3 linked regions of the Coturnix japonica genome follow. The protein of the gene in region 1 purifies or fractionates together with the protein of each later gene. This does not show direct contact. Links are inferred from orthologs where the notes say so. Each region holds a gene or a part of one and is shown on either strand. Other genes may lie near its edges.

Evidence for each region. The genes of interacting proteins can lie anywhere in the genome.
Region 2: the proteins of DLD (region 1) and OGDH purify together in Homo sapiens (affinity purification with mass spectrometry; 3 studies listed by BioGRID and IntAct, counting the BioPlex papers as one, with this or other methods). This does not show direct contact. The link is inferred for Coturnix japonica from reciprocal best matches to the Homo sapiens genes DLD and OGDH.
Region 3: the proteins of DLD (region 1) and PDHB purify together in Homo sapiens (affinity purification with mass spectrometry; 3 studies listed by BioGRID and IntAct, counting the BioPlex papers as one, with this or other methods). This does not show direct contact. The link is inferred for Coturnix japonica from reciprocal best matches to the Homo sapiens genes DLD and PDHB.

The regions. Positions count from the first base shown.
Region 1 is NC_029516.1:13,334,069-13,341,646, reverse strand, and holds the start of DLD (dihydrolipoyl dehydrogenase, mitochondrial), read right to left. Parts: upstream 4,763-7,578; 5' UTR 4,675-4,762; coding exon 4,636-4,674; intron 4,455-4,635; coding exon 4,379-4,454; intron 3,241-4,378; coding exon 3,161-3,240; intron 2,023-3,160; coding exon 1,954-2,022; intron 668-1,953; coding exon 598-667; intron 235-597; coding exon 134-234; intron 1-133. UniProt on the Homo sapiens protein: Lipoamide dehydrogenase is a component of the glycine cleavage system as well as an E3 component of three alpha-ketoacid dehydrogenase complexes (pyruvate-, alpha-ketoglutarate-, and branched-chain amino acid-dehydrogenase complex).
Region 2 is NC_029537.1:136,070-143,571, forward strand, and holds the start of OGDH (2-oxoglutarate dehydrogenase, mitochondrial), read right to left. Parts: upstream 3,920-7,502; 5' UTR 3,805-3,919; intron 3,794-3,804; exon of another isoform or gene 3,519-3,793; coding exon of another isoform or gene 3,306-3,518; intron 3,227-3,305; coding exon of another isoform or gene 3,081-3,226; intron 2,882-3,080; coding exon of another isoform or gene 2,711-2,881; intron 2,622-2,710; coding exon of another isoform or gene 2,392-2,621; intron 2,310-2,391; coding exon of another isoform or gene 1,966-2,309; exon of another isoform or gene 248-1,965; intron 144-247; exon of another isoform or gene 37-143; intron 1-36. Other genes in the region: interleukin-1 beta, read left to right, coding at 1,966-2,309, 2,392-2,621, 2,711-2,881, 3,081-3,226, 3,306-3,518; CKAP2L (cytoskeleton-associated protein 2-like), read left to right, coding at 4,579-4,594, 5,131-5,197, 5,762-5,828, 6,154-7,241. UniProt on the Homo sapiens protein: 2-oxoglutarate dehydrogenase (E1o) component of the 2-oxoglutarate dehydrogenase complex (OGDHC). Participates in the first step, rate limiting for the overall conversion of 2-oxoglutarate to succinyl-CoA and CO(2) catalyzed by the whole OGDHC.
Region 3 is NC_029527.1:9,334,645-9,342,166, forward strand, and holds the start of PDHB (pyruvate dehydrogenase E1 component subunit beta, mitochondrial), read right to left. Parts: upstream 3,920-7,522; 5' UTR 3,856-3,919; coding exon 3,757-3,855; intron 3,636-3,756; coding exon 3,528-3,635; intron 3,455-3,527; coding exon 3,392-3,454; intron 3,315-3,391; coding exon 3,279-3,314; intron 3,193-3,278; coding exon 2,907-3,192; intron 2,321-2,906; coding exon 2,210-2,320; intron 1,612-2,209; coding exon 1,520-1,611; intron 1,068-1,519; coding exon 926-1,067; intron 576-925; coding exon 430-575; 3' UTR 1-429. UniProt on the Homo sapiens protein: The pyruvate dehydrogenase complex catalyzes the overall conversion of pyruvate to acetyl-CoA and CO(2), and thereby links the glycolytic pathway to the tricarboxylic cycle.

The sequences.
Region 1 (7,578 bases):
AAGGGAAGCATTCAATCAGTCCTTGCCAAATCCCTGATCAAATAAGCTTACATGGCTAGAACGTGAGATGCAAAAAGCAACAAAAGCAAGAAAAGAAATTACACATTTACTTCAGTAAATAATCCAAACTAACCTTGTTTTGCTTAAATAAATGAGCAATTCCACCTGTTAAGGCCTTCACTGCACTGCTCTTCTGTTCCATCATCTTCTCCAGATTCAAGCGGATTCCTGAAACTGAAATTGAAAAGCTTCAATGGAGCATTCCACTTTTATTTATAGGAACTGATCTACCGTGAACAGTTCTGACAGGGAGATGCCCCAAAATGCTCCCATTAAACATGAAAGGTCGTGTTTAACAACTGGTATGTTACAAAGCAGTGTTAGTCTTTTCAAGTGTAACTTCTCCAGCCAGCAATCAAGGAACAGACACATTCCTAAACCTCCAGCTGGCAGAGAAAGGATATTGGTTGCAAGTCAATGCAGCTTTATGACCAATCTTCCTACAATTATAGTAGTCAGACCTGAACCATTCACATTTGTTTCTTAATGGAAATCATTTAGCTCAATAGACACCGCCAAGTTGCTCTGCACACTCACTTTCAATTCCTCTGTTAGCGAAGTCTTTTCCATGGGCCAAATGATAGAGGTGCGAGTTGTTCAGCAAGGCCTAAAACATACATACAAAAATGTCAATGGGACACAGCTGCAACTGGATTTTTTACCAATATTTTTTAAAAAATGAAATTACTTGAAAAACAACCTCTAATAAATCTGACATTAGTGCTTTAAAAGGTGTATTTCAAATACGCCAACTACGTGCAGAAGCTCTTACTGAGGTGTAACTTGAGAAAATACATATAACAAAAATAGAGAGTAGTTAAGATCATTCCTACCCCTTTCTGCTCTTTTCACTGGAGAAAGTGGAAATGATAGCACTGAGAATAAAAAGGTAGGGACAGGCTTTAAGCAAAGGAAAACAATAGATGGCTATCATTCAGTAGAATTTCTTCATTAGCTCAGAAAATTTGTCAACAAAAATACTGGGAGGATATGGAAAAACTGGAGGAGGAAAGAATCTATACTGAAATCACTGTTAAATTTTAGTCTGTGCAAATATCAGTTCAATGCTGTAGCTGAGTTGTGCTGAAGTTGTTACAACTGTACAGCCAGACCGTTTAAAGCCAATTCAGGTCACTGAATTCACAATTCAATCATCACAATTCAAAAATAAAATCAGAACAGTTCCTTTCTAAGTGCATGTAAAGATCAGCAGCTTGAAATACAGAATCTCCAAACTATAACTTGATTAGAAACTGCAATATAAAAAGGGATCATAGAATCACAGAATGGTCTGGGTTGAAAAGGACCTCAAAGATCATCTGGTTTCAACCCCCCTGCTATGTGCAGGGTCTCCAACCATCAGACCAGGCTGCCCAGTGCCACATCCAGCCTGGCCTTGAATGCTTCCAGGGATGGGGCACCCACAGCTTCACTGGGCAACCTGTTCCAGTGCGTCACCACCCTCTGTGTGGAAAACAACAAGTGTATTGAGCATTGACTTGAAAGGACTGAGAATTCCACACAGCAGACCCTAAGACAAAACCACCTTAAACTGTATTTAAATAGCATTTAATTGCTGTATTTAGTTAGTGGTTACCATACAGACTTACCAGCTCACTGGGGAGAAGATGCATCTGCATACACCTCCTGCTTTTATCCCTCTTCCTCTCACTTAAGAAACCCCACAAAACAGTTTGTAAACAAGACATTCCCACTGAATTAATAAGTAATGCAATCCTTTGAATTCCTTTTATTCATGGAAATCATTTGGTTGCAAGTTATTTTTCTAAACAAAGTATGTCCATCTTGGAAAAAGATAAGTAGGGGTTTGTAAATTGATGCATGTAGGAGCTATAGTTATTAATGAAGTTATGATCAACAATGTACCCTTACCTTTGAAGGAATACATCCAACATTCAGACAGGTTCCACCCAATGTTTCATTTTTTTCTACACAAACAGTCTGAAGGGAAAAAAGGAGGGGAAAGCATTGGAAACCTTTTGGCAGCAAAGAGAGATGTCCCTTCCTCAGTGACAAGCACAGAACATAAGCACCAAGTAAGAACCTCTTGGTTTATGCTCCAGGGAAACAAATGTGCAGAGAAGTGACTTCCCAGATGAAAGCCTGTTGTCATTTAACTTGCTGCTTTTGTGGTAAGCAGCAGTAACAGTACCATGAGGACTCAACATCAAATCAAATAACCACAAGGAGATCAGTTGATCCCCAACTACCCCTCTTCCTGTTTTAAGCACACAAACATAAAATGATCCAAGTGCTTTAACAGCTGCTCTATGGACCAAACAGCACTAGACTGCTCTCACCTTTACCTGGTAAGGCTTTGACTCATCCACTTTAGATTAACTTCACTAGAGTCAAAAGCAGATGTAAAACTGACTTTCAAAAAACTCTATTCTGGTACTGTTACACATTAGGTTAAAATATACTCAGAGGCATCACTGAATTCCAGCTGTTGGAGGAATAACCAATGAGGGACAACACTCTTAACTACAGAAAAATGAGGCTGAAGGGACCTTCTCTGGAAGCCATCTAGCCAAGTTTCCTTCTTGAAGCACAGCATCAAAGCTGTCTCAGATGGCTCAAGGCCTCGACAAGCCAAGCCCTGAAAATCTATATGGGCGAAGGCTACATGCAAGCTGGACTTGTTCCAACATTGCACTGAACTCTTCTTGTAAACAGGAGCTTCTGTCCTTGCCAGGTGGTCTCATCACCTTGGTTTTTTCACGAAGTCCTGCTGTCTTACTTCAGAGGCACTGGGATATACCGGCCAACAGAGCATGCGCAAGTACACTTAGCAAGTACTTCATGAAAGAATGACGCAGTGCCAGGAGAGTAAACTGGTCTTGGGTTAAAGAGAAACAGCAATGCTGCTGATGTCTCACTCATGAGTGAAAATGAAACTTATGAGCATACTATTTCCCACTTCTAAACTCCCAAATGGCCATCAAACTCCTCCAATGGCACTAGGAAATCACATCAGCTGAGCACTGTTTTGGTACTTACCCACAACAGAATCAGTGCATGTTTTATGTAGTGGAGAGGTTGAAGAGTGATCAGAAGGTCTCCAAAGGTCAGTTCTTACCTTAAAGCCAAGCTGAGCTGCTTTGATTGCAGCAACATAACCTCCCGGGCCAGATCCAATAACTGTGACATCGGCATCAACTGCAACAGGGAACATTACAGTTACTCTTTTCAGCAATTAAGACTTTACTGCAGGACCAATTTATTCCTGAACTTATTCATATTTGGAAATGCCAAATAATGGAGAGAAAGTAATAAAAAAGCTATTAAAAATTATGCAATTTAATACTAGAGAAATTACACTTCACAAAATGACTTTCCAGACAAAAGCAAAGGTTGTATAGAGGTTTTTTGACAATATAAAGTCTTAAATTTCACAGGGAAAATAATGTAAAATGAAATTAAGCAGATGGGATGCATCTGACCCATCCTTCCTGCTATAAAACCTGTAACCCCAGATGTCTGAGCAGTTTATTTAAGCATTTTACCAACAAAATTTCTTCTGTTGCTTGTCACAAAATATACATGAGCAGTGCATGCCATGGGATCATCAGATTATAATGCAGGAAATATGGCTGAAGTAAACTTCTGTGTAACCCTTATTGATTATGAACACAGAAGCAGCTGTGAACTTTGTACATTTGTTTCTAGCAATCATAACCTCCTCAGCAATATTAATCACTGCCACTGTTCTTACATTATGAAATTCAGCTTCTAATTATACCTTTATTTTGACAGTAAATCTGACAAAGAAGAATTTATCATAGAAATTGGTGAGGTTGTAAGGAACCTTAAAGCCCATTCAGCCCCAGGCTCCTGCCATGGGCTGGCTGCCCCCCACCAGCTCAGGCTGCCCAGGGCCCCATCCAACCCAGCCCTGAGCACCTCCAGGGATGGGGCACCCACATCTCCATGGGCAGCTGTGCCGGGGCCTCATCACTCTTCCAAAGAAACATTTCCTAATATCCAACCTGAGCCTCCCGTGGTGCAATTTATGTCCATTCCTGTCACCCTATCGCTGTTATGTGGGAGCAGAGGCCATTCCCCACCTCACCACAACCTCCCCTCAGGCAGCTGTACAGACCAACCGACATCTCCACACAGCAGCAGGGCAGGTTCAGCCGTCCTTGGAGGTGTTCAAGACCAGGCTGGACGGGGCCCTGGGCAACCTGATCTAGTAAAGGTGTATGTTTGGTGGCCCTGCCAGGCAGGGGGGTTGGAACTACATGATCCTTGAGGTCCCTTCCAACCCGGGTCACTATGTGATTCTGTGATTTACCTTGATCGGCGTAGGTCCTCTGCGGCACGGCACACACCCCCTGGAGACCATGATGAACTCGATCAAAATGGCTCCTCTAAAACAGAACAAGCCACGGCTTTAAAAGCTGAACCTTGAAGAAAACAGGAACGCGGCCCAGCGGCGAGGCCACGGTGTGAAAGCGGAGAAGCACGGCAAAGCACGGCAAAGCCCAACCCAATGGCACGGAGCCCTCCGGTTCCCCCCGCCCGCCCCTCGTTATTCGCACAGCGCCGTACCCGAGCGAGCGCGCAGGAGACGCGGCCCCAGCGCTGCATGGCGACCGCCTGCACGGCCCAAGGACTCCGCGGAACTACGCAGGCGCAACGGGAACGGGCGGCTGTACGGGAGCCGCAATGGGCCGCTGCGATGGGGCTGGGTGTAAATGAAGGGATGGTCGGCAGGGGGCGCTCTGCTGTTACCTGAGCGTGGCAGGGCGGCCCGCGGGGCGGCAGCATCGCGCTGCTGTGGGGATCTGAGAGGGAGGCAGCGTAATGCCGGGTTTCGGTATTATAAAGCATTTCAGTTATTTAGAACAACCTGTAGGATAGTGGAGCGATCGTCCTGTTAACAGCTGTGCAGCTGTCAGCTTCCTGCTGTGAGAAATATATGGATATTTAGTCATATTGAACACACAATATGTTGTCAGGTGGTTCCTACCATCTCTGGTAAATCCTTTTGTTGTGCTCCTCTTTTTGGTTAAGAGTGGGCACCATAGTAAAGTAATAACATAATCACAGAATCACAGAGTGACCCGGGTTGGAAGGGACCTCAAGGATCATGTAGTTCCAACCCCCCTGCCTGGCAGGGCCACCAAACATACACATTTACTAGATCAGGTTGCCCAGGAGACCCCATAGATCCCCATAGAGACCCCATAGAGCCCCATAGAGACCCCATAGATCCCCATAGAGACCCCATAGATCAGGTTGCCCAGGGTCCCGTCCAACCCGGCCTTGAACACCTCCAAGGACGGGGCATCCACAACCTCCCTGGGCAGCCTGTTCCAGGGCCTAACCATTCTCCTAGTGAAGAACTTCCCCCTAACATCCAACCTAAATCTTCCCTCTTTTAACTTAAAACCATTTCCCNCCCTCTTTTAACTTAAAACCATTTCCCCGTGTCCTGCTATTGTCAGCCCTTTCCAAGAGTTTACTCCCCTCCTGGGAGTAAGTTCCCTTCAGGTATTGAAAGGCTGCAATGAGGTCACCCCGCAACCTTCTCTTCTCCAGGCTGAACAAACCCAACTCCCTCAGCCTGTCCTCATAGGGGAGGTGCTCCAGTCCCCTGATCATCTTCGTGGCCCTCCTCTGGAGGAGAAAGTGTATCCAGAAAGAAACAAAGGTGGTGTTTGGTTTTCCAGCTGTGCCCAAAGCAAGATGGTGTGTTGCTTTTTGGGCTGTTTCACCTGTTGATCTGCTCAGAACTTCCTGTCACTGGAGAATTGAAGCAAGGTGACAGGTAAGAAAGCTAAAACAAGTCCAAGGCCACAGTGAGTTGCTCTACGTGAGGTTCTGCACCAAGCAAAGAGCTGACAATGTGTGGGCAATATGGGAGGAATAGGGTGCAAAATAGCAGCATACCTCGGTTTCAAAGAGGATGCAGGACAGCTGTCCCAAAAGCATATAAGGAATCCTGGAATGTGCTCTGTTCTGCTGGTATTTTACGGAGATCTGTAGCTCCCAGCTGCCTGCAGGAGAGTTAAGTGCTTGGGACATTCCTTTGTTGCTGGAGCTTAGGGGAACACACGTAGGTGAGCAGGCATCAGGAGCACAGAATTGCTGCATTTTGGGGTTAGAGGGGAGCTAGACAGGAGTCTCAGTCTCCCCATAATGCTCCAGATCTGGATCTTCTGGCAGAACCCATTTGGGTTCTCTCCCACCAAATGGTGCTTGCACAAAAGGTCATGGTTCCAAGCTGTAACCTTGATATGACCTCCTTGCATACCCTGGTTAAACACCCAGCACCCTACCCCGGTTATGGAAGCTGCACTTCAGCTGCCTCACTTGAGGGAGTGACACTTTGCATTTCAATGTTAGGCACCTACTGAAGCCATCTTCCTAAAGCAAGTACCTCAATTCCCTGCATGGTCAGCAGGTGTCTTTGAAAATAAGTCCCCAGGAGATACTGTCTGCCTAACTAATATGCATGCACTAAGGCCAACACAATCTTGCTTGGGGCCTTCAAGGATTCCTGCCTCTGCTTTTATTATACTGCAAAAGTGAATGATCAGAGTAGATGTGTTTCACCCCACTGTTGTTATCAAGAAGTCAGACAGCTGTTTTGGCAAGTAAAGGCACCTATGGGAAGTGCAGGAAGGCTTGTGGTTTGAGAGGTTTATTCATCTCACCCCAAGGTGGGTGTCAAGGGTTGTCGTGCTAAGGTTGGCCACAGCTGTGCTCTCTGCTGAGCACAAAAGGAATGCAGATCACCTACATTAAACAGCTGACTTTGAGATAGACAAAGCTGGCAAGAAAAAACTTGTTGCATTAAAGAGGGAATGCCTCCATAGCCATAGAAAACTCAGGAGCTGGGTGGGCATCTTGAGTTGTTAGGCTGGGTCCTTCCCTGCAGCGTCACAGGTGTACAACCCTGCTACCACTCTGCAAACAAGAAGGGATAGTGCCAACCTTAGACGTCAGTTTGCTTCACTTTTATTAGACCAGGAAGAAAGTGGGAGCTCTGGCTCTGAAGTCCTTTGCTAAGATTTCTTTCCATCTGACTTCCTCTTGGGGATTATTTTGCAGCCTCAGTGAATAGCTTTGCATACCAGTAAGTTCGTGTACCTTGTGAGATTTGGTTCCCTGTGCTTTATTCAGTTCTGAAAACCAGTGACCTGATAGCTATGAGCAAAGACTGCAGACGAAGCCGGATGCAGCATACGGAAGCTACGTCTGAACATGAGAAAAAGCCTATGACATTTCTATTAAGTTATGTAGGAGAAATAAATGATTCTCTGCAGTACAGAATTGTGCAGTGGCCATCATTCAAAGATCTGAAATGGGAATTAGGAAAAGATGATACATCAGTGATTCTTTCCATTTCCTGTACTGAATTTGTCATTGCCCATTTAAACTCCTTCACAGACAGATCATACCAGAGCTGGTCATAAAGTGCCAGTTAGTTTTCACATTAAAAGAAATAAAGAAAAAGTACTTTCATATGTTTTAAGCTCCCGTTTC
Region 2 (7,502 bases), on another chromosome or scaffold:
GACCGGACCGACCCGCCCCGTCCCCCATCCCGGTACCTGCCGCTCCGCGCTGCCGCTCGCGGCCCCGACTCTGACAGCGGCCCCCAACCGCCGGCTGCCGCCCCGCGTCGCCACGCCCCGCTCTGACGTCACCGCGTCGCCCCGCCCACAACGACGGACACGCCCCCAAAGAACCGCGCTGAGAACGGGGGGGGGGGGCGGCCATAGGGACATAGATGGGGACATACATCTATAGGGACATACATCTATAGGGACATACAGCTATAGGGACATACATCTATAGGGACATACAGCTATAGGGACATACAGCTATAGGGACATACATGGGGACATACATCTATAGGGACATAGATGGGGACAGCCATCCACCCATAGGGACATACAACCGTGGGGACATCCATCCATAAGGACAGCCATCCATCCATGGGGATATACATAGGGACAGACAGCTGTAGGGACATACATGGGGACAGCCAGATGTAGGGACAGCCAGCCATCTATAGGGCCATACATCCATAGGGACACCCACTTATAGGGACATCCATCCATCCATGGGGACATCCATCCATAGGGACATACAACCATGGGGACATCTATCCATAAGGACATCCATCTGTAGGGACAGCCATCCATGGGGACATCCATCCATCTATAGGGACATCCATCCATCCATGGGGCTATACATCCATCCATAGGGACATATATCTATAGGGATATCCATCCATCTATAGGGACATCCATCCATCCATAGAGACATCCATCCGTAGGGACATCCATCTACAGGGGCATCATCCATAGGGACAGACATCCATCTGTAGGGACATCCATCCATCCATGGGGCCATACATCCATCCATAGGGACATACATCTATAGGGATATCCATCCATCTATAGGGACATCCATCCGTAGGGACATACAACCATGGGGACATCATCCATAGGGACATTCATCCATAGGGACATCCATCCATCCATCTATAGGGCCATCCAACCATTGGGGTCTGCAGCACACAATGGATGCACATTGTGGATGGCCATTGTGGTGCAGAGCCCTCCGGGTGTGGGGAACATCCGTTATGGGATCATCCCCCCACGGGGACGTCCACGATGATGAAACCCAGCGTGGGGACGCTGCCCACAGGGGATGGACATCCTGGGAACGGAGACGTGGTGGTGGGAGGGTCGTGAGGGTCCAGCCCTGAGTCACGTCCTGTGGGGACAGTGACACCATTTGGGAAGTGAAACGGCTGCAGGAAAACACGCGGCCGCCCCACACACCCCACACACGCACATCCCCGTCCAGCGTGGCGCAACCACGGGGCAGCCACCAGGGCTGGATGTGGTGCCCTATAGGACGGCAATGGGGATGTGGGGTCTGAGCGGCAGGAAGCCCAAGTGGACAACATCCCTAAGACAGCAATCAGAGGGAGAGGGACGTGTGGGGTCAGGCAGGAAACAGTGGGGCTGGGTGGGGAAATGGGGCAGCGGCAGCACTTACACCACCGGCCCCTATAGGGGAATCTGGCCTCGCTGCAGCCCTGACGAGAGCTGGCGTCATCGGGGGCACTGGCGGCCATGGGGCAGCCCCAATGTGTCAGCCAGACCCCGAGCATTGCCCCACTCTGTGCATGGCCCCAAAGCAACGCCCTGCTGGGCCCCACACTGATCCCAACGCATCATCTGCTGTGTGGTCCACAACAGCTCTGAAGGGCGGCTCCACTGAGCCCCACATTGACCCCAAAGCATCATCCTGACAAACACCGCTCTGACCCCAAAGCATGGGTGAAAAGCACACTCAGCTCTACAATAAGCACGGCTCTATCGCATCCCATACCAACCCCAAACTGTGCCCCATTGTGACCCCAAATCACAGCAGCTCTGCGTCTCCTACTGACCCCAAAACAGCCCCTCTGAGCCCCAAAGCAGAAAGCACGCTCTGAGCTCTACAGTGACCCCAAAGCCCCCATGGGCCCCGCATTACCCCGCATTGCCCTGCATTGCCCCGCATTGCCCCGCAGCCAGCAGCACGGAGGCGGCGCCGGTGCCGCGTTGCAGCAGATAACGAAACTCGGCAATCTCCGACCGTTGCGAAACGTGGAAATCCCGCTGGGTGCCGCTTCCTTCCAGCAACCCTTCAAAACCCAGCGCTCCGCAGCAGCGCTCACAGCTCCAAAGGCAGCAGCAGCAGCAGCAGGAGGAGCAGGAGCACCCACAGCACCCACAGCACTGCAGGCAGCCTCACCCTCAGCTCCCATTGAGAGCACAGAGATGGCGTTTGTTCCCGACCTGGACGTGCTGGAGAGCAGCAGGTGAGCGCTGAGATGAGCTGGGGGCTCAGGGTGGGTCTGAGCTTCACGTTGCTCAAAGCTCAACGTCTGCTTTGCCTTCCAGCCTCAGCGATGAGACCTTCTACGGCCCCTCCTGCCTCTGCAAGCAGAAGGTGCGGACGGGAGGACCCGGCGGCTCAGTGGACGTGCAGGTGACGGTGAGGAAGGGACGCGGCGCCCGGAGCTTTCGGCACGCTGCCGTGCTGGTGGTGGCCATGACCAAACTGCTGCGGAGGCCCAGGAGCAGGGACTTCAATGACAGCGACCTGAGCGCCCTCCTGGAGGAGGTGTTTGGTAGGAGCACGGTGCTGGACAAGGAGGAGGGATGGTGGCTGGGCTGTTGTTGGTACCCGCTGACCTCCCTGCCCTCCTGCCCCCCATAGAGCCCGTCACCTTCCAGCGGCTGGAGAGCAGCTACGCCGGGGCGCCCGCCTTCCGCTACACCCGCTCACAGTCCTTCGACATCTTCGACATCAACCAGAAGTGCTTCGTGCTGGAGTCACCCACACAGCTGGTGGCCCTGCACCTCCAGGGGCCTTCCTCCAGCCAGAAAGGTGAGGGCACCACATCCCCATCCCCATCCCCTACCCCTATCCCTACCCCCTATCTCTATCCCTGTCCCTACCCCCTACCCCTGTCCCTGTCCCCTATCCCTGTCCCTATACCTACCCCCTATCCCCATTCCTGACCCCTATCCCTCTCCCTACCCCCTGCCCCCCATCACACCCACTGACCCATCCCTTCTCCCCACAGTGAGGCTCAATATCGCTCTGTACCGTCCCCGTGGCCCACGGGGCAGCTCTGGAGCCGGGCAGATGCCGGTGGCGCTGGGCATCAAGGGCTACAAGCTGTACATGTCGTGTGTGCTGAGCGGCGCTGAGCCCACCCTGCAGCTGGAGGTGAGCAGCCCCCATCCCATCCTCATATCCCACTCTGATACCACCAGCACCCGCTGACCCCCCCGTGTCCGTATGGCAGGAAGCCGATGTGCTGCGGGATATTGACAGCGTGGAGCTGACCCGCTTCATCTTCTACCGCCTGGACAGCCCGGCCGAGGGCACCACGCGCTTCGAGTCGGCCGCCTTCCCCGGCTGGTTCATCTGCACGTCCCTGCAGCCCCGGCAGCCCGTGGGCATCACCAACCAACCCGACCAGGTCAACATCGCCACCTACAAGCTCAGCGGGCACTAAGTGCCCCCTGCAACCCAACCAAACCCAAACCGGCCCGTGGCTGGTTTCGTGCTGTATGTACCGAGTACAACCCGCTGCCCCTCCATGCTGTTCCACGTGGAATAGCCGCTCTGGGCCCCGTGGGCCCGAGTCACACCGTTATGTTTCGTTACCTGTTGCTTTTAACTTATATATTTTTTATATTTGATCACAACGTTGTTGTCCCACCCCCCGCGTTGGGGTGGAGCTATTTATTGTCTCTCACAAATAAAGGCTCCCTGTGGATGTGTGGCTCACTGTGTCTCACCGTGTCTCACCGGGTCCCTCTGGGGGTCGTCGGGGTGGTTCAGGCTGGAGGAGCGTTGCCCACACAGCGGCGGGTACCTGGGGGGCAAAGACAGCGACTGCTGCCCTCGGGATGCCCACGACCCTCCGAGCTCTACTGCCCCTTAACAGCCAACCCCATTGCCTCACAAAGCCCCCATCAGAACCAGAACCCCCTGCAGACCATTAGAACCTCTTAGAAACGCCCTCAGACCCCCCTATGTCCCCCAGACCCCCCCTTCCAGACCCCCCATCCCAGACCCATAGATGTCCCTTCCAGACCCCCCTCCCAGAGCCCCCTATGTCCCCTAGACCCCCTCCCCAGACCATCGACCCCCGTCTATGGTCCCCCAGCCCAATATGTTCCCTCCCAAAAAGCCCCATTATGTCCCCCCAACGAGCCCGCTTCCCAAACCCATGATGTCCCCGCCCAGGACCCCTATGCCCCCAGAAACTCCCCTTCCCAGACCCACATATGCCCCTCCAGACCCCCTTTATGTCCCCCAGGACCCCCTTCCAGACCCATCAACGACCCCCCTTCCCAAAACCCCCATGCTCCACTCCCCCCCCATCCCCTTCCCTACACTTATCGGCCATGTGTCTCCGTTGGCCCCGCCCCATCCTCTGACTTCACCCAATCACAGCTCCCCGTGCCCACCACGCCCCCTCACTGCGGCGCTCCCCATTGGTCGGTTTGAAAGCGGCGGCGGCCGCTGAGCGCGGGGCGGCGGTTGTGGCGGAGGTTGGGGGGGTTGAGATGATGGCGGCACAAGGTGAGGGATGGGATATGGGGTATGGGGTATGGGGTGTGGGATATGGGATATGGGGTATGAGGTATGGGATATGGGGTATGGGATATGGGATATGGGGTATGGGGTATGGGATATGGGGTATGGGATATGGGATATGGGGTATGGGATATGGGGTATGGGGTATGGGATATGGGATGGATCCGGGTCCAGACCGGAATGGAGGGTGCTACAGGGTGGGAATGGGGTCGGGTGGGACGGACAGCAGGAGCTGCGGGTGCCCCATTGCATTGGCAGCACCTGCCCTGCCCTATAGGATCTCCATAGAGCTTTAATTGCTGCTATAGGAGCACCTCATGTGCTCTAAGTGCTGCTATGGGAGCACCCCGTGTGTCTAAGTGCTGTTATAGGAGCACCCCGTGTGTCTAAGTGCTGCTATGGGCATCACTCTGTATGTGCTGGGTGCTGTTGGTGCCTGTGAGCAGCGCTGAGCTCCAGGACGGCCATACCCCCCATTCCCAGCGCTGTGTGCTCCATGTTCTCCTCCCATTTCTTTGCAGAAGAGCGGAGAAGAAAGCTGCAGGAGTACCTGGAGGCCAGGAGGAAGCCGAAATGCACCAGCACCAAGTAAGTTGGGCTGTGCAGCTGTATCTGCATCACCAGCATCTGCCACCTCTGCAGTGTGTGCTAATGGGAGCAGCCCTGTGCCAGACTGAGCCTGGGGCAGCTCCTGGTAGCATCAACACAGCCGTGGTTGAGTTGTTATTTCCTGCTCTTTAATGCTGGGTGTCTCCACAAAACCTTCCCATCCCAGGCTTTGGGTTTGCAGAGCAGCCTTTGGTTGCATTGCCAGCTGTGCAGCTTTGTTTTATGGTAATAAGGAAGGGACACCTTCAGCCCATTTAAAGCAATCAGGAGGAAGCTCGTTACCACACCTGATCTGGTAGGTGGGTTCCCATCATGTCCTGCCCGGCCCCGTCAGCTGCAGGAAGCGCTTTGATGGCTTTTCCCGTCAGTGGAAGTTGTGTGTTGTGTAACACTCTTTGCTGTCACTTTTTCTGTTGCCACACGGAAGGGAAAGAAACACGACGTGGTTCTTCCTTGAAGCTTTCAGGCTTCCAAACGCTTCTCATCAGCTGCTGTGGCTGAAGCAACCAGAAGCATTTGAGCTCTTTCACCTTGTTTCTGCAGGGCCTGTTTAAAGGACCAGACTAATCACCTGGATCCACTTTTAAAAGCAGTTTCTGAACCAGAACATGTAAGTAGAAATGGACTCTTTTCAGTCTGGTTTTGTGCTTGAAGTGCATCCATGCAGATGGGGGAACACAGAGCAGGACGGTGAGTTCCTGACCCCAGGTGGGTGGTAGTAACACGTTGTTAAACATCCGGCCCTGAGACAAGCAATTAATTTTCAGAGCAAATAATGAGAGAATCATCCTCTGTCTCAGTGCTGGGTGTTACATTGGGCTTGTCTCCCCGCACTGGGCTTTGTGTGCATCCCTTGGGCTGGTGGGGCTGAGTGTCGGGGTGTGACTGAGCTGAGCTCTGCTCTGGGCTCTGCCTGATGTTCTTTGTCTCTGCAGCTTGGCAGGAACAAGGGCATCGTCCAACACGTAGCAAAGGGCACCTGGAAGGATGGCAAACTTGCAGCCAAACCTGCACAGCCAGCTGGGTGTGCTACGCTGCGGCAGCATCCACGTGCGTCTCAGAGAGTAGGAGTGGTACGGCCACGGCAGCTGGGGAAGGGCACAGAGCTGCCTGCAGGGCTCGTTCCGAGCACAAACCCCCCTGCACAGCCCAGAGGGAAGGTCCCACCTTCTGCCTCTTGTCACCTAAACCCTGGAGGGCCGGAGGAGGCTGGAAGTGGGCAGTCTGTGCCCGGGGCACCTTGCTCCCTGGATGAGAGCCGGCAGCGATGGCTTGGCTCCGACAAAGAGAACTTACCAGCACGAGCAGCTACAAACCCCGTGCCCAGCAACACTATTCAGTCTAATGGGAACAGTGTGGGGATCGAGAGAGCCTTGGCTCGTGGGCAGAGCTCAGGCGCTGTGTCAAGGACTGTCAAGGGCCCAAAGGACAGAATTAATGGCTGCCACACTAAGGAAATGCTGAATCAGGACAAATCCAGGAATCCCCTGCCAGGCTCAAAGGGCGCATCCCAAAAACCCAGCGGCACAACTCGGCCATTGCAGCCCCCTCAGTTACTTGCTAATTCCACACATTTGCTACATAAAAAGCCAGCTGTAAAACAGGAGAAAAACAATGCAGCAAGGGAACCTGTGGGGAAGCTCGGCACGTCTCGGATGGGAACTCTTAAGCACTCCAACACAGCTCCTGCAAAGCCCCCAGCCTCCAGCCGGCCCCAGGGCACCACAAATGGACCCACCAGGACACCCGGCCTGACGCTGTGCACCACGGTGCAGCAGCAAAGACCCACAGTGAGGGGGGGAGCAGACAGGAAGGACGTGAAGGCAGCACCTTCAGGACACACAGCAACATCCCGAGTGGGAGCCCCCCAGAAACAGCCTCTTCCCAGCACCAACAGCTCCAGAAATCCAGGAAATCAGGGTGGATTTGGGAGCAGGAGGGAGGTGCATAAAGCAGAGCTGCCGCAGAAGCATGGAGTGCATGCTGGCCGTGTCCCCAAGACCCCAACACCGGAGGATCGTAGGTAAGTGACATCCATGGCTCACTGTCCTCCTGGGGACAGCAGAGTGAGGTGCTGGACCATATGAGTCAGCTGCAGGGCCCAGCTGCACGGTCTGTGTGCTGCTGTGGGGATGCTGCAGTACAGGGGGGTGAGGTTTGATGGTCGTTTGGGTCCCTTGTTCCCCCCATGCAATAATTGCCTGCAGGCAGCAGTGAGGGAGCAGCGTCTGAAGATACAGCCTTGCTGTTCTGTGCTGCCTCTCCTGTTTTATCTTAAGTTTGG
Region 3 (7,522 bases), on another chromosome or scaffold:
TTGCCATTAGTAAGCCTTGCAAATGTAGGCTCCTAGGACTAGACTCAGGGTGGCCCTCATTACTCACTACTGTTCTGCACTCAACCACCATCACAGTCAGTTTAGCACAGCTAGTCTGATCATTACAGGATGAGCAGAAGTGGAAAACCTCTTCTTCACTCTGAACTTAGGGCATACAGACAGATCCTAACCCACCTGCACTGCTGAAGTACAAGCTACCTTAGAGATGAGCATTACCACATGGTTACTTAAATGCAGTGGCTTAGAGGGAAACCCCACCAGACCCCATTGCAGCCATATAAATATTCTGGGAGACTGTTGTACTTTACTGTACAAAAGTTAATGTAGCTATACAACAAAGTGATGCATACATGTTGCCCTACACCATTAATACTTTTTAAAGCAGGACTTTAAAACAATATTTACAACTTAGAGATTCAAAGTTTTCTTCACTGCAAATATTATATCCTTCACTTGAGGTATGCAGTTATCTTCTAAAATTTTTGCATAAGGCATAGGAACGTCTGCACCTGTAACACGCACAGCTGGAGCATCCAAGTAGTTGAAGGCGGATCCTGAAACAGAAAATGGTGGTCAAGTTGTTGCACAATCTGGTTTGCTGTCAATTCAGTTTCTGAATCTTAATACGCTTACAAATAACTTTGTTCTGCAGTACCAGAGACAGCTGTTCCTGCCTGTCTAAACTACAGCGCATGGTGATAAACAAAAAGTTACCATCTTGCTTCAGTTTCTGGGATAAGAATTATACCACAAGACTATCTGGATTGACCATTTGAATGTGTCTAGAACAGGACAGCTGTTAAGCTCCTCAGACACAGGACTTCCAATTTGGGCTTTATCAAATCTGGCATTATCAAGAAGTCATGAGGATTTAGATCAAGGTGCAGATTGCAGAAGTCGGTACCTTCCATGATCCTGGCGCAGATTTCAGCTCCTACTCCAAACTGTGGCCAGCCTCCCTCTACAGTTACAAGATGGTTTGTCTTTGCAACGCTGGCTTCCACTGTTTCAATATCCATTGGTCTAATGGTGCGCAGATTTATAACCTTAAAAAAAGGCACTGAGTGAGTTTTGCTGTGATCTGATCGTGACCTTTACTGCTGTTTGGGCACTGTGTCCTTTAGCACTTCAATCTATTCTGACTTTGACAAGAAGACTTAATGAAATTACTTCTTATCCTGACAGATGCTTCAGAATGGCTTTTGGTGGCTCATCAAGCATGGAAAATGCTTAATGAGTCTCACTGTATATAATCATGCTGCTACATACTGTCATTGTTCTGCTCATTGTACAGGCAGATCAATCTGAAAGTCTCTGGTAGTTCTGACTTGATTTTGTGATGAAAAGGTCAAACGCAGAAACAAGAAATGCACATACTCTGGCAGTTAAGGCACTTACAAAAGCTTGGAGTTTATAAAGTGATGTTCTACAGAGCCTGAACAAGGTGACCCTCTGCCTTTTTCCTTGTACAGAGAAAAGCAACAGAAACCCCACACACCTCACACTCAACACCTTCTTTGGCCAGGATAGAAGCTGCTTCCAAACAGTGCCCAACAGGCCTAGAGTGCGCCACTAATGTAACATGAGTTCCTGGAACAGAAACAAGTTTTAAAGAAGAAACAAATGCAGAAAAAAAAAAACCCACCACACACACAAAAAAGCATTTTTCTTGGGCTCTTTTGTAGGTAGCATCAGTATTCTCATGCAAATTTAAGTTCCTTACATCTACATGAAATGTTAAGTATTTCTATACCTGTGAAGAATGGCAGCAGGACTATGTGAGGATAATCTTTTGATTCAGGGATCTAAATAATGTTTTCAATACTTTTCGGATTATTTTTTTTTTTACGCTTTCATGCTATTCATTGGTAAATTATAAACAGGCTGAAAAATTACAATGATATCTTCTGCATTTTGGACAAAAATGACATAGTAAGGTGAGAACTTCCCTGCACATCACCAACACCATCCTTAGGCTGAGAAAGAAACCTTCTAGGGAGGTACAGTTTTAAGTGAGAAACTGAGAACAAACAATTGAGTACAATACAGGATAAATCATATTTGAGTATTTAACAATTTAAATGTGTTCCTGTGCCCCATGATAGCAGTATTTTGAACAGCTAAGAGTCCCCAGGCAGCTTGGTTAGTAAGGATACATACAGGTACATACACTGTGTTCTCAGCTTACCTTCCCTTTCTATTTTGGCCTTTCCAATTGGAATAACAAAGTCCTTTGACTGTGCCTGTTCTGACATCTCAAAGGGAACGCCGTACAGCAATTCACTTTCCAGCACCACAACTAGAACAAAACATACTTGGATTAATTCATACCTCTGCAGGAACAGGCTGTACTTATCATTAACGGTACCGCAGAAGAATATTTGCAAGACCAATACAAACAATTAAAAGTCAATCAACTTCACTACGCAGTTAGTTTAAATACTGTCTTCAGTTCATCTCTAAAGGTAGATCAAGGGAAAACTGCAAAGGCTGTGGCTAAGAAATGTTTCTGTAGAACTGCTAGCTTCAGAAAAAGCCTTACATTTTGCACGTGTGCTTGTGAGAAAGAAAGATGAAGGTTGCCCTGATTTTGCTTAATGAGATTCTGAATTTATCATCTAAGCTTCATCAACTCTAAAAAATGAGTTACACTGTACTGTATCTGCAGGTACTTCTCCTGACTCATCTTCATCCTTTATAATGCCTTTACAATGAGTTCATAAATGTGTCTTTCAAAGCTTCTAGATGAGTACCTGCAAGCAGGTTAGAACAGCACAAAATGCTTAAGTGCTGAATAAACTTTTTATCTTTTTACATGAGGTGGGAGAGGAAAAGAAGCATTCAGAAATGAGAGTTAAATACTGCCGTCATCTGACTGTGCTCACCTGGATTATCGTCCCGGATCGATGCCTTCAGCAGCCCCTTGGCATCTTCTGAGCTCCAAGGACTGACAACCTTCAGCCCCGGGCAGTGCCCGTACCAGGCAGCGAAGCACTGCGAGTGCTGTGCGGCAACGCCAGCTGAAGCCCCGTTGGGGCCACGGAACACGATGGGGACGGCGATGGTTCCTGCAGACATGTAGCACGTCTTGGCAGCAGAGTTGATAACCTGGTCGATTGCTTGCATGGAGAAGTTGAACGTCATGAATTCACACACCGGCCTCAACCCCGCCTATCAGAGTTAGACCATACGATATGTTTTAACACCAAAGCAGCTCGTTTTGTACATCAGTTCATTAGGACTGAGGGCGTACTGACCATTGCGGCACCAACGGCGATTCCTGCGAAGCCCATCTGGAAGAGGAGCAAACAGCATTAAGCGCCACAGCTCGGCCCACGGGGAGCCCTGTGGGGGGAGCCCCGCGCCGTACCTCGGAGATGGGGGTGTCGATGATCCTCTTGTCCCCGTATTTCTTCCACAGCCCCCTGGAGATCTGAAAGGATCGGAGCGGTGTCAGCCCCCGCACAGCCCGCACTGCGGCCCCGGCAGGGCCCCCCCTCCCTCACCTTGTAGGCACCGTCGTACTGTGCCACCTCCTCGCCCAGCATGAACACACGCTCATCCCGCTCCAGCTCCTCGTCCAGCGCCTGGTTCAGCGCGTCCCGCACCGTCACCTGCGGGAAGCGGCAGCCGGGCAGTGCTGGGCAGGGCAGGGCGGCCGTCCCTCGGCTCACCCGCACCACCCCGCCCGTACGGATGAACCCCCCGCCCCAGCTCCATCCTCACGGCCCGTACCTGGATGGCGGCGGGCGCGGAGAGGTGGAAGCCTCTGCGTGGCGAGAGAAGGCGGCCTCGCGGCACCAGCAGCCGCAGCGCTCCCGCCGCCGCCGCCATCTTGGCCGTGTCCTCTATAGCACCGGGCAACGGCCCGGCCCCCGCGCTACCTCGGCCCCTGCCTGAACTCTCGCGAGAACTGGCGCTGGCAGCCAGCGCTCTTTTTATGCGTCACTTCCGGTCTCGCGCTGTGGTGGCGGTGAGGCCGTGCCGCGCTCGGTGCTGCTCGCATGGCGCCGCTCGGGGCGCGATCAACGCGGCATCGCCTCCTGCCGCCGGGACCGCACCGCCCCCACCGCCCCCCTTCATCTGTGTGCCCCTCTTCAGTGACACAACTGCCCGCCAAGGAGGCGTGGGGCGGAGCGAGGTGTCCCCACTGTCGGCCCTGAGGTGAAAGGAGGCGGCTTCCCTCCCTCACCCGAGCGGAGCGGGCGGAGACACGGGGAGGGGATCGCGGCAGAACCCGCCCCCGCTCCTCCCTCCTCGGCGGCTGCTTCGCTCCCGGTTCAGTCGCCCCCATCATCGCCGGGCTCTGCTTCAGCGCCGGGACCTGCGACTGTGAGTGTGAGGAGGGGCGGGGCCGGGCCGGGCCGGGCCGGGCTGTGCTATGCTATGCTATGCTATGCTGTGCTGTGCTGTGCTGTGCTGTGCTGTGCTGTGCTGTGCTATGCTGTGCTGTGCTGTGCTGTGCTGCTGTGGGGGGTGGGAGGGAAACACGGGGCTGTGAGCGGCCGGAGGCTGCACTGGGGGGGGGGAAACGGGGCTGGGCCCCCTGTGGGACTGCGGGTACCTGGGGCTGGGGGCTGCCGGGCCCCGTTTGGGATGTTGTGAGGCTGTACCCGGCCCTCAGTTCGAACAGGGGCTGCCCCTCGCTGCAGGAGGGCCGGGCTGGGGCCGGGAGCGGTATCCAGGCGATGGGCACTTGGGGGCAGCGGGTGGAGCGGTGCAGTCGTGTCCAGCATCCTTTGCTGAATCATTGCGATCTCAGGGGGAGATTTCCTTCCGTGCGTTCCTCTGGGATGGAAAGCGGCTGTTCCCGACTCCTCCTGTGGGCCTGGGTTTGAAGGGACGATTCTTGTCACCATCCTGCTGCTTGGTCCCTGTGTCAGCACTGTTGGCTGTGCAGGATGTGCTCCTGACACCTGCCTTCATCCAGCACTGCTGGGAGATGTTTCCCCATGCACACAGCTGCCTGCTGGTGCCATGGAACAAGATACGTGGGTAAAACCAACTACTGACACTGTGCAGAGTGACTGTGTGGTGCCAGCAGGAGCAGGGCAGGTGCAGTTGCAGTCCTTGGACTCCTGCATGAGGAGGGTCAAATGGTGATGTGGGATTTTCAAGCATCTGGCAGATGGAGCTTCAGAACCCAGTCCCAAACTGAGATGTTGTATTGTTCCTCAGGTGTGGGAAAGAAACTTTCAGAGCTTGGAATTCATAGTGAAGCAATTAGGCATAAAGGAGCGAGAATGCTGAGTGGCCACTGTTGGTGTTTTGCTCTCTTGCCTGAGGTGAAGGCTGAAATATTAACCAAAAGAAGCAGAGAAAATAAGGAGAAGTTACGTTCTAATAAACTGTGTTAATCATTGTAAACTTGACGTGTGTAGGTGAGGGATTCATCCTTTAGCAATGCCAAGCTGTGGTATTACCAGAAGTTTTGGTAAGCGGTTGTTTCCATAGCATAGTTTGTTGCTTGGGGTAGCTCAGCACTGTATGGCCTTGGGTTTGCTCTGCAGACTATTGCCTTGCTCTGCAGTTCTGTGGAAGGCAGTCGTTAATTACACTGGCTGAAGGACTGTCGATTCAGGTGAGTCACTGGTAATGATTTGCAATAAAAACTTGCCTTCACATTTTAAGACTGGCTCAGGATTAGAGAGGCTGTCCATTGACAGTGTGGCTACTGAGAGCAGGAGTTTCATTTTCTCATCTTTGGAGATCTTAATGTCAGAGACAGTGAGCTCGCTAAGTGGGAGAGCAGCATGAACCGCAGGTATTTATCTGTATAAATACCAGACTGGCTTAGTAGAAGTCCTGTCAACTTTATATTGACCTTGGAGTCTTCAGTACATATTGAGACTAAACAGTTTGTGTAGACCGTAAACAGTTTGTGTCCTTCCCTTTGAGCAAGGTAGCTGAGAAGCATTCAGAGCAGCTCAGATGCCGTGTGCCTTTTGACTTGTGACTGCTAGGTGCGTTTCTGCTCCTCCTTCATCTGCCTGCATAGGATGGTACAACTGCTGTGTTCTATCCAAGTGCAGTGTGTGCAGTCTGTGCCCAGGGCCAAGTGTGCTGTATTCAGTCCCAGCAGTGCAAACACTTGGCAGTGCTGCTGACATCCCCTGCCTCTGTCCTGGATGTGTGTTCACAGATGCAGATGTTCAGCCCGCTCTCATTTGCTTTCTTTGAATTTCAGCTTTTAAAATAGTTGCATGTTAGCAGCAACCTGGGAGGAGAAGCCCTGCTGAAGTTAATGGGACTACCTGTTGCAGTAACGTTGCTAGTAAATAGCCTTGTAATCTTCTGAGTCATAAAATATTAAGTAAGAGTGAGTGTTCTATAAATGCAGGTATCCAATTTGGTGTGTTTATTACAAAATGATGGCTTCAGTGTTTTTCCTCGAAGGTTCTTTTCTCTTATTGTTCCTTCCTAGTTCTGGGCATACTTGGGCTATGGTGGCATATCCCTTTTGGCTTAAATGGTGCCAGAAGTTGGTCGGGCTGAGGATTGTTTTAGGTGAACATTTCTTATGGCCTTTAAAGGCAGTTTGTCTTGGGATGCATCTCCACGTCACCTGTTCCTTACTGCCTGGACACAAGTAGCTGTGCTGGTGAGGTTCTGTACCTGGGTGTGCATGTTGTGTGTTGTAGGCTGGTGCTGGCTTGAGGCTGTCTGTCCTGGAGCACAGATAAAGTTCTATGTGCTTCTACATCACCGACTTTCATTCAGGAAGGATTTAGAGCACTGTTAAAAGGCAAACTGTGAAGGGCCCGTATCCCCACCCTTGTTATGATGTGGTTTGCTGGTGCTTATCTCTGGTTGTACCTGAACAAGGCCATTTTTGCCTTTGAAGTTGTCTGGAAATTTGGTGCTGCCAGGCTGGCGAAGGAAGCAGCAGGTCACTGTGATCACATCCAGGTGTTTTGGGATGGCCTCTTCGTAGCATCTGTGTGCTCTGTGTCTCTTGTTGCACTGCAAGGTCTGTGTGGGAGTCTGGACTCTTACACAAAGGTCAGTGAGGCTTCTTGCTGCCAATTCTATGTTGAGGGCTGGGTTCGTTTCTGCTAATTGCTCTCGTAAATTATTCACTGTGCTGCTACATACAGTGCTGTGATCAAAGATGAGTTCATGCCATCAAATGGGAATGCAGCGTAGTCTGTTTCTTCTCCTGAACAGGCGTGAAGTCTTGATTAATCTGTACTGGGGGCTTAGATATTGGCCAGAATAACAAAGTGTCATTCCATGTGCTCAAGTCACTGATGGGCATCTACCTGTCTTTGGAATATTCTGAGTGTAAAGATGCAGTTAGGTTTATAAAAAGATTGCTGATCTCTTGTATTGTGATTGCCAGTGACATTTCTGGCTGGCTGCATTACTTCCTCTTCAACTGAATGTTTTTCTTGCGTGTCAGAACCATAGGCAGTCCCTCCAGTGGTTGTAATGTGTCTTCGTGCATCCTGGTGCTGTTCTTGAGCAGGGGGACAGCTGCAAGTACCCGTTCCATAAGGGA